Linked DNA regions of Canis lupus familiaris. The protein of the gene in region 2 binds, or shares a complex with, the protein of the main gene of each other region. Links are inferred from orthologs where the notes say so. Each region holds a gene or a part of one and is shown on either strand. Other genes may lie near its edges.

What was found. Proteins that work in one complex are often made in the same cells at the same time.
Region 1: CNOT9 (region 2) and CNOT6L share a complex: the UniProt entries of both Homo sapiens proteins name them as parts of the CCR4-NOT complex. The link is inferred for Canis lupus familiaris from reciprocal best matches to the Homo sapiens genes CNOT9 and CNOT6L.
Region 3: CNOT9 (region 2) and CNOT6 share a complex: the UniProt entries of both Homo sapiens proteins name them as parts of the CCR4-NOT complex. The link is inferred for Canis lupus familiaris from reciprocal best matches to the Homo sapiens genes CNOT9 and CNOT6.

What each region holds. Positions count from the first base shown.
Region 1 is NC_049253.1:37,970,046-37,973,616, forward strand, and holds part of CNOT6L (CCR4-NOT transcription complex subunit 6-like), read left to right. Parts: intron 1-787; coding exon 788-945; intron 946-3,028; coding exon 3,029-3,183; intron 3,184-3,571. UniProt on the Homo sapiens protein: Has 3'-5' poly(A) exoribonuclease activity for synthetic poly(A) RNA substrate.
Region 2 is NC_049258.1:25,085,894-25,089,070, forward strand, and holds the end of CNOT9 (CCR4-NOT transcription complex subunit 9), read left to right. Parts: intron 1-905; coding exon of another isoform or gene 906-927; exon of another isoform or gene 928-1,559; intron 1,560-1,828; coding exon 1,829-1,997; 3' UTR 1,998-2,610; downstream 2,611-3,177. UniProt on the Homo sapiens protein: Component of the CCR4-NOT complex which is one of the major cellular mRNA deadenylases and is linked to various cellular processes including bulk mRNA degradation, miRNA-mediated repression, translational repression during translational initiation and general transcription regulation.
Region 3 is NC_049232.1:1,476,810-1,480,380, reverse strand, and holds part of CNOT6 (CCR4-NOT transcription complex subunit 6), read left to right. Parts: intron 1-454; coding exon 455-609; intron 610-1,190; coding exon 1,191-1,345; intron 1,346-2,243; coding exon 2,244-2,474; intron 2,475-3,571. UniProt on the Homo sapiens protein: Poly(A) nuclease with 3'-5' RNase activity.

The DNA.
Region 1 (3,571 bases), on a different chromosome or scaffold from region 2:
ATGAGCACTTTTTAAAAATGCTGTACAAAGTGATTCTAATGGGTAGCCTGGATAGAAAATTACTGATAAAAATCAGGGCTTTTCAAGCTAATGTACATGTGATTCACCTGGGGATTTTGTCAACTTTCGGATTCTGACTTAGTAGGTCTTTGTGGTACCAAAGAGACTGCATTTTTGAGTTCCTAGGTGATAACTGATGCTCTTGTTCTTCAGAGCACAAGAATATAAACCTTATTGTCTTTTTAGTTTGGTCACAGTCCTTTTATAATCTAAGGGCATTTTAAAATGAGAATTCAGTTTCAGAAATGGATATATGACTTGGCAAAAAGGATTCACTTATAACTAAACTTTGTTATTAGTCCATATGCTTCTGGCTCAGAGCAGTAAGAGGCTCCCAAAAGTATTAATGTATATTTTTAAAAATTAATGAAATTAGAGCCTTTTAATAAAACTAAAATTTACTTTTGTTCCATTTAGAGTTTGGTCAAAAAATTATGTACAATTAGCATTCAGATTTAGAATTTGAATTTTTGTTAAAATAAATTTCCTAAAAATCTAAAGTATGAACTGTAAGTCTAATTCTAGTAATAGAATTTTGATGTGATGGATTCTAGTGAAGTCTTTGTAGATATAGTTTAACAGAATTTTGCCAACGGCATTCCACAATATTTAGGATAGGTTTGTGTGCCATGTGTGCTTGTGCAGGTATACACATGGTATTTCTTTTTTTAAAAAGTTGCCTAATTTTCTCCCTTTTGTCTTTTGTTTTTTTTCTCCCAATTCTTAGCATCATTCACAGTTATGTGTTACAATGTGTTATGTGATAAATACGCCACCCGGCAGCTATACGGCTATTGCCCATCCTGGGCATTAAACTGGGAATACAGGAAAAAGGGAATTATGGAAGAAATTGTTAACTGTGATGCAGATATCATTAGTCTTCAGGTAAAACTATAGAAATTAGTTGTCTGGGGGCACCTGACTGGCTCAGTTGGTAGAGCATGCAACTCTTGATTTTGGGGTTCAAGTAAGTTCGAGTCCCACATTGGGTGTAGAAATTACTTAAAAATAAAATCATAAAAAAAATTTAAAAAAAGAAATTTAAACTTAAAGGTGAACTTAGTAGTTCTTACTTCTGGGAGAGAGTCTGTATTCAAAACAAAATTCAAAAGGAATTGTTTTCTCTCTTAAAAAGGGCAGTTTTAATAAGCATATAAGACATTTGCGCAGTGAAACTATTTTGCTAAGTATAACCTTCCCCCTATACTCATTTACTATTAAGTGAAAATAATCTTATCCATTATTCATGTTAACAGTTCATCTTATGAAGAGATCATTTGTATTGTAGAAAGAGAAAACTGCAGAAGGTTGTGTCTTAGGAATCTAAATTTAACTTACAGACTCTGTAAAAAAAAAAAAGAATTATTTGTTCACTATTCCTTAATGATAAATAAACACTGTAAACATTTAAAAATACTGTGCTATAAATCATGCATTTTTGTGTTATTTTAAAAACCATATCTGAAATTTAGACATTTGTGTTTTATAACACTTTATTATAATGAATTAAACTGAAGAAGCACCTTTCTGTTGAAATTTGTGTTTTAGCACTTCTTTTCAACACTTAGCTAATGAATAGTCAAGGTTTCTAGATAGTGTTTAGTAATTTTTTCTTAGCAACTTTTCAAAGCATGTTACATGATTATGAAGGTATTTAAAAATTTTAAGTGATATAATTTCATAACTGCTTTTTAGCATAGCCTGAAGAAAGGTATTATTTTTTAAACAACCTTTTATTTTTTTTACTTGAGTAGCTTGATAATTTATGTTGGCTATGGTTCATATGATTTCCTGAGAAATAAAAATCTTCAAACATTAATTTTTCTTCTAAAAACTGAGAACTGACATTAGAATTGGGGGAGAGAAGGAGGCAAAGTCAGCCTTGTTGTAGTTATTTAATTGTCCTTTTTTAAAATTTAGTATTCGCGGTAATAATAGCCTCACATTCTTCTAAGCATAGTTTGAAGGATAAAAATGTCATAATTTAAGAAGCATTTTTTTATTGTAAAGGTAATAAGGTAATACTGTAGAATAAAATGTTCATTCTAGAAAAATTGAATATTTTGGAAAAAATATAAAGAATGATGGAGGAAAACACCTAATGTCATAATCCAAAAATAGTTTCTCTGTTAAAACTTCTGAAATATTTATTGCACGTATTTTTTAATTCAATTTTCCTATTTATTTACAGATCTATTTTCAAAATAGATTTGAGATCAAACTATTGTACTTAATGCACTTTCTATATTACTAAAATTCTTCATGCCGATTCATTATATGAATAATTATTTATTGATTTAGCATTTTCTCTATGTCTGAAATTTAGGCTATTTATTAGTTTTTACTGTTATAAAATCATGTTATGAGCATTATCATATAAATCATTATCTTCACATTTGATTATCTCATTTGGAAAGATTGGTTAAAAAATTTTATTGGTCAAGAATAAAATAGTCTAACTTAAAAGTACTGGATTAACAGGGACCATTGGAATGATTGGTGTTCAGGTACCTAAAAATTCCTTAGAGTAGAACTTTTTCTTGATAGATCTTAAACTTCTCACTTTTGGGTATCATTCCTTTCTATCACAGTTGAGAAAGATAAATAATTTTAAATATTATACCTCTGTATAAAATTGACTATTCCCTACTGCTTAATCTGTAATATGTCCAGTTTTACCAGTTTTGATAAATTGAAGTATGGTAGAATGAACTCTAAACTGGGACGAAAGAGAGTTGGGACCAGCTAGCCATGTGAGCAAGAAAAATCATACCAACAGTTCAGGTTCTTTGAGTTTTAAAAGCTGCCATTGTGAAATGGCTGCTGCTAGGAATAAGGTTAGAATAGATAATATTTGTTATGTGAATTATTTTAACTTAGTCACATTTTACTCATAATGCTGAATATTTTTATATCTTAATCAGAGTTTTCCTCTGTCATGTTGATGACAACTTTTCTTTCACCTCAGGAAGTGGAAACAGAGCAATACTTCACTCTCTTTCTGCCAGCATTGAAGGAGCGTGGATACGATGGATTTTTTTCTCCAAAGTCACGTGCCAAAATCATGTCTGAGCAGGAGAGAAAGCATGTGGATGGTTGTGCAATATTCTTCAAAACAGAAAAGTGAGTTAAGGAAACAAAGCATAATAGTGCATACTTATTTCTTTAACACACAAATTAGCAAAAAGTTAGAAAGCAAGAGATGTAAAAATTAAAAACTCTTGGTAATGTTATATTTCTTAGGCTGTGTATTAGAATTAAGAATCTTTATTTTACTTAATGCTTTATTGCCAAATTACATAAAAATTTTGAGAGGTGTATACTTGAGTATAGTGTTAGCATGGTATTTCCAAATATGTTTTCATGAAGTAAAATACTAGTTCTAGTATAAAAAAAGAAAGCATAGTACATTTTAAGATTTGAAATGAGTGGTCTGAGTCTTTCTGTGATTTTTGTTTTGAGGTTGGCTTTTTTCAGAAACCTTAATTTTATTAACCTTTTTCAATTCACA
Region 2 (3,177 bases):
GGATGTTAGGGAAACACTCTGGTGAATAGTTGCCCCATCTCGTGGCATAGCTCCTATATCTTTAGAGTAGGGAAGGGATATAACAATAATTAGTTTGGCAGAACTTAGTTAATTCCTTTTAGATCTGAAGTGCTAAATTTAAAAGTCCATCAGAGTATTGGGGACACCTGGCTGGCTTAGTCAGTAGAGCATGCAGCTCTTGATCTCAGAGTCATGAGTTCAAGCCCCACATTAGGGCATAGAGCTTACTTTAAAAAATCCATCAGAGTTTTATCTCTGTCTCTCTGTAACTCCTTACCTTCTTCTAGAATTCCAGAGAGTCCAGGCAGTTCCCAGGGAACCGTATGATACATTACTCCTATGGTTTAAGCTTTCTTTTTTTTATTTTTAAAGATTTTATTTTTATGTATTCATTTGAGAGAGAAAGAGAGCACAAGCAGGGGGACGGCAGAGGGAGAGGGAGAAGCAAGCTTCCTGCTGAGCAGGGAGTCCTATGTAGAGCTCCATCCCAGGACCCTTGGGATCATGATCTGAGCCAAAGACCGATGCTTAACCGACTGAGCCAACCAGGCGCCCCTAGTTTGAGCTTTCTATTATATCTAGTTATTGCTACCCCAGGTGGTCAGAAAGAGAAGGTCTATTTTCAAAGATCGCTTAAGAATGGAATAGAGCCCCAGAGGGCTCTTAAATTATATTTTCATTTCTTCTCTTTGATTCCTGTAAAGTCCTTGAGCTAATTATTTTATCTCCCTATCTTCATAATCTTTCTGTCAGAAATCATACGTTGTAGATATAATGCATTTTAGAAACATTTGACCTTTTGCTTTGTAAATCCATAATTCATGCTGAAAGCCACTTGCTCAGGTTCTGCTAAACCACATAATGGGCAATTTCTATGTTCCTAGGAATGAGGATAACTCAATTTAATGTGAATGCATCCTTCTGCCTCTGAGGTTATTCAAGCCCTAACTACTTCTTCAACCATTTTGTCTCGTTCTTCAGTGGTTCATGTTATCAGTTTGAAAATATGTTTACTTAAACTAGTCTGAGTACAAAAGCCATAACTTTATTTAAAACAGCTTTATAAACCATTAACACTTACCTTGAGGTTCTGGATTTGATTTGTCACTGATTATCTTTTAAAGAAAATGAAACATTTGAAATTTCATCTGATCATATTGCTACTATAATTTTGTTTTTACTTCTCATCTCAATTTATTAAGTGTTTTAACTATAAAACTAAAACGGGCACCTGAAGGGTGCAGTTGGTAGCACATGCCACTCTGGATCTCGAAGTTGTGCGTTTGAGCCCCATGTTGGGCATAGAGCTTACTTTAAGAAAAAAAAAAAAAAAAAAAAACTGAGGCAGTTTTTGGAAAGACACAAATTTATATTAATTTAGAATTCAAGTTCATTAATTTATCATACGGTGAGTCAGGTCATCTTCCCTATTCATGTACTGATTTTGGAAGTGTTTCATTTACTATAACCCATCTGTTACTACCATGAGCATATTGACAGTATTTACTGTAATAAATCAGAAAGCAGTTTGAATTGAACTATTGTACCATTCCATTTTGCTTTATCCTGAAATTCCACATTGAGACATCATTCTGAAAATGTTCACAAGATGACAGATCCTGGAGATCTCTGAGCCCACTCCTAATACAAGTTTTAAGGAATTTTAATGGATTCTTAAGATAATTTGACTGAACCACATATTCCCAGGATTCTGTATATTTATGTCTAAGAAAGAGCCTCTTCCCCGTTCTCCAAATGTGGGTTTATTTGCTGGTCTCCCTGGTTGGCTTGTTTGTCTCTGATGTAGGGCACGTGAAGCGCTCAGGCAGTGCCTCCCTGATCAGCTGAAGGACACCACCTTCGCCCAGGTGCTAAAAGATGACACCACCACGAAACGCTGGCTGGCACAACTGGTGAAGAACCTGCAAGAGGGCCAGGTCACCGATCCCCGGGGGATCCCCCTGCCCCCTCAGTGATCCTTCCCCGCCCCCTTCTCCTGCTCCCCTGAGTTGGGGAAGGGAGGGGGAACCTGGAGGAAAACAGCTCAGGTTTTACCGCCGACCGGGAATAGACAACCTCAATGCTGAACTGCACTGGAGAAGAGAGGGGCAAGCTCACCCCGCTGAGGTGTACGGGCTACCGTCTCAGGCCGCCTCCGGGACCTGGGCTCCCTCCACCACTCCCAGGAGGGAGATGGGCTCCTGACACCGCAGTCTGCCACCGCAGCTCCAGGAGGCTGTCAACACCAGCAAATGCTGTGTCCGCAGCATGCCCAAGATGGCCCCTCTCCCCCACCCGTACCAGCCGCTGGCAGGGAGGGAGACGTGCTGGTGGCAGCACTCTAGGCATGCTGAACGCCTGGGACCAAGCCGTGTGGCGGTCTTTTCTTTTGCCTTCCTGGAAGACTCAAGATGTGTCTCTTCATCCTCTCTCTCAGTATTTGTTTACTTTGATCTTTTGTTTTTAATGTCAGAGAGAGGCGTGTTTAGTGGACACAAGCTGTAATACTCAGCAAAACTTTGTCAATTGGCACTGTTTACAAGTCTGTTAGCTGCATAAGCTTAATAAAAAGTTGGTCTGGGCATTACATCCCCTCTAGCAAGCCAATAGCTGCATGAACTGTGGGGAGGAATGGGAGGCAGGGGAAGGATAAAGCCAAAGGACGACAGGACCCTACCGCCTCTTTTTCCCTTCCCTTTCTGTCCTTCTGCCCCCAGTTCTGGATGCCGCAAGGACCCTAACCTTGTTTCTGTCTCTAGCTGCTAGCTTTTCCAAATTTCAGTGCTTTCCCCTTTTTCATGTCCCTCCTATTCAACTTCAGCAGACGTCTTAATTCATCAGGCTGTCCTGGAAGGGTGCTGTACTGGGGGAGGAGAGGTGGCAGCGAGCCTTTCTTTAAATTCCAGTCCTCAGAGAGATGGTCTCAGATGACTGTTTAAGGGGAAGGCGCCGGGATCAAGATGACAAGCTACTTGATCTCATTCTTTAGTATGAATTTCTGCGGTTCCATTGGGGTTCATGATTGTACTTGAAGTGGTATTAATTGAATGAGTTTATTTTATTCAGATTTAAGACAGAAGGTTGGACTCTGCTTCTTCACTTAGTCTTTTTTTTGGTGGGGGGGACACATTCTCTATTGGTCTATGGGAATTACAG
Region 3 (3,571 bases), on a different chromosome or scaffold from region 2:
TGCCCTTGCACTATGTTTTAATTGGGTGACAGGGTCACTGAAATTGTGGCATTGTAAAAGTATGGTTTTACTTTATCATCAGCAGTAATAGAATAATTAGGACATAGCAGAGAGCACATTGAGCCTGATGCATACACAGTAACTTTAGGGTCTCAGTCCTACTCTTACAATAATTTACATGACCTTGGGCGAGTCACTTTCTCCCTGTGGTCTGAAATTAGAATCTGCGAAGTTCCTTCTACCTCTCTGATTCTTATTCCCCATCAATTCTAAAATAAAAGAAAATATACACACATAGAGGTGTATGTCTTTCCATGTTGAAAAGATGTGACATTCCTTATTCTGCAGATTAGTCCTTTGCAATTATTGCAGCCCTTCAAACTGTACATGTAAAGTTAATGCATAGTACTGATTTTGGTCTTATAAAATAACTTTGCCATTTGCAATTTTTCAGGAGGTTGAAACAGAGCAGTATTACAGTTTTTTTCTGGTAGAACTGAAAGAACGTGGCTATAATGGATTCTTTAGTCCTAAATCTAGAGCTAGGACAATGTCAGAACAAGAAAGAAAACATGTCGATGGCTGTGCAATATTCTTCAAGACAGAAAAGTAAGTCATGTTTAAAAAAGAATTTTCTCAGTATTTGCAGGGAGTCCAGGGTGTGGAAATTAGTTGGCAAATTGGAGAACGAAGCATTGTATTACTCAGTAAAGCAACACTGTTGACTTAAAGTGTTTTGAAGCATCAGAAGTGATCTTACTTTGGAGACTTGTTGAAAGTGCTGCTGTTTCTTCAGGTGTTCACTAGGGTTTAACTCCAATTGTTAATTGAAACACCTTGTAATTAACATTCCCTCTAGAATAGTAGAGGGATTCTTAAACCTGTATTTTGGAAAAGAATTATTTAAAAATTACAAGATGGAATATTCCAACATGAAACTTAAACAGAGGATGACTACATTATCTTACATTGTAAAAGGATTTCAAGATGTTATTGGTATCAGTAACAGACTGAGAACAACTTGAAATGGATGTGGGAAGCATGGTGTAAAGTGTGGAGGATTTTCCATGATGTGATTTACATGCCATTGTATTTGTTACAGAAGCTTGGGAAAACTGCATTTCCCACAAAGCTAATACTTTGGTATTCCCAATTCTATGTTTGTGTGTGTGTTTTTGTTTGTGTTTTAGATTTACTTTGGTTCAGAAACACACTGTTGAATTTAATCAGCTAGCAATGGCAAATTCAGAAGGGTCTGAAGCTATGCTGAACAGAGTCATGACAAAAGATAACATTGGAGTTGCAGTACTGCTAGAACTTCGAAAGGAATTGATTGAAATGTCATGTGAGTGACCTTTTCACTTCCTGTAAAATTGACCTCCAAAATTTAATAGAAAGCAGAAAATTTGTTCTAATATTAATAGTCTTATCTAACACCTGAAGAAACTCAGTGAGAACTTAAGTCATTTCTATAATATCCTATCACTTTTTCTCTACCACAAAGCTTAAGATGACAAAGCAGTGCCCATAAAAGTGTTTGAAACTTTGAAAGGCATAAAGCCAAAGGAAAAATTAGGGGTTTTTTTGCTCCTAATAATTTTTTACATAAAAGAAATGTTGAAGTAAATATTAGTTAAAATAAGAAGAACTCCATATGCTCCTGTAATTTCTTGGCACAAGGATACTCTGTAAGCTAACTTCTCTTCCTGACCTACTTGTAATCATTATTTGAAATGTTTTGAGTTTTGGATAAATGGACCACTGATTTCAAATTAAAAGTATATTTAGAGTGATCATCATGCCAAAAACTGAAACTTCTATCACTCAAGGAACAGTTGGGACGGGAGATGTTTAACCTGAAGGAGAGAAAAGAAAGATGAAACTTAGTGCCTATATTAAATATATCAAAGAGAAAGGATATAGATTTAATTTTGTGAGACTCAATATAGAACATCTGAATGAAGTCAGAAGTGTCAAGGAGACAACCATTTAAAAATAAGCCATCCCAAATAGAATGGGATGTGTGTGTTCAAGTAAGTGAATGCCCCACTTTGGGTTGTTCACCCAGCTTGTAGAAGGCTGTTTCTCATGTTTGTGGTACAGCAGATGTAGACATCAGGTGCGTGGTTGTTAGGTAAATATAGGGTCCCTTTTTGTACCTGAGACTCAGATACTACTTGCTTTCAGCTAGGCTGATGGGCGGGTTTTGTCTGTCTCTTTGTTTTCTTTTTTACCTAATATAGCCGGAAAGCCACATCTTGGAACAGAAAAACAACTTATTCTTGTGGCTAATGCTCATATGCATTGGGACCCCGAGTACTCTGATGTGAAGTTGGTTCAAACTATGATGTTCCTCTCAGAAGTAAAGAACATTATTGATAAAGCCTCACGAAATCTCCAGTCCAGTGTATTGGGAGAATTTGGAACTATTCCACTGGTGTTATGTGCAGATCTTAATTCTTTGCCAGATTCTGGTAAGAAAAGATATTTTATAGAATGCCTTTTTGACTTAAAATGTTTTTGTAATCTGTTGTTTTCGGTAATTCCAATTCAATCAAAATGAAAATTTAGCTGCAACACTGCAGCTAAACTGTGAATCAGGTTTAATATTTAGGTGTGTGTAGTAGGAAGACTATTTTGAAAATGAGATGATGTTATGAAAACCAGAGGAGGAAGGACATTAATCATCTTTAATAATCATGTAGTCAATAACTTGAAGTAACTTGTTAAAGAACACATGATTATATTTCATTATCCCCAGGTCACATATAATCAGACTCTGAGAAGGTTATTAAGCAAGCTTCTCTGGGATTCCAGCATGTAGTAATAGGCAGTTTAAATTGGCTATTTTCAGGATATTAATATTGGTGGACTTGATACCAATATTACTTAGGTGGAAATTGAGATCCTTTATTTACAGAGATGAGGCTAGCAATTTGAACAAAAAAAGAACAGGGATCTTGACTTTTATTACAGTGTAGAAGAATACAGAAAGGCTTATTCTTGAATACTTTTCAATTGGATAGTACAGTGAACAAACCATAGTTCTTATAATATCAGAGTATTCCTTTTTGTATTTCAGCTCCTCGTTTATACTCTCATTCACACAGAGTATTTTCCTTGCCTTTGCTTATGTGCCTGGGCACCCATGTATACACACACGCACATTTGGAGTGGTTAAGTTCACCAGCACACACATCGTTGACACCATGATGGATGAGAGCCAGTAAGAAGATAGAAACTATTAAAATGTATTTTTAGGGCAAGTAAAGGTATCTGAGATCCATAACTCTTCAGCCCATCTCATCCAGCTCTCTGGGGACACGGCTGCTGAAGCAGTGGGGATTATTCTCTGACAGTTTCTCCGCATGTGTTCTGCCTTCTGTTTAACTACAGAGCATCTGAGGGGCAAAAAGAGAATCTACTCAAATAATACTTATTAAGCCTTATTTCAGTGTTGAAAAAATACAGTATTTTAATAGCAAACACATGAGAAGATGTCCAGCTTTGCTAACTAGTTAAATGAAAAGTAGAATAACTATTTGCAGAGCCCATCTAGCTGGTAGCATTC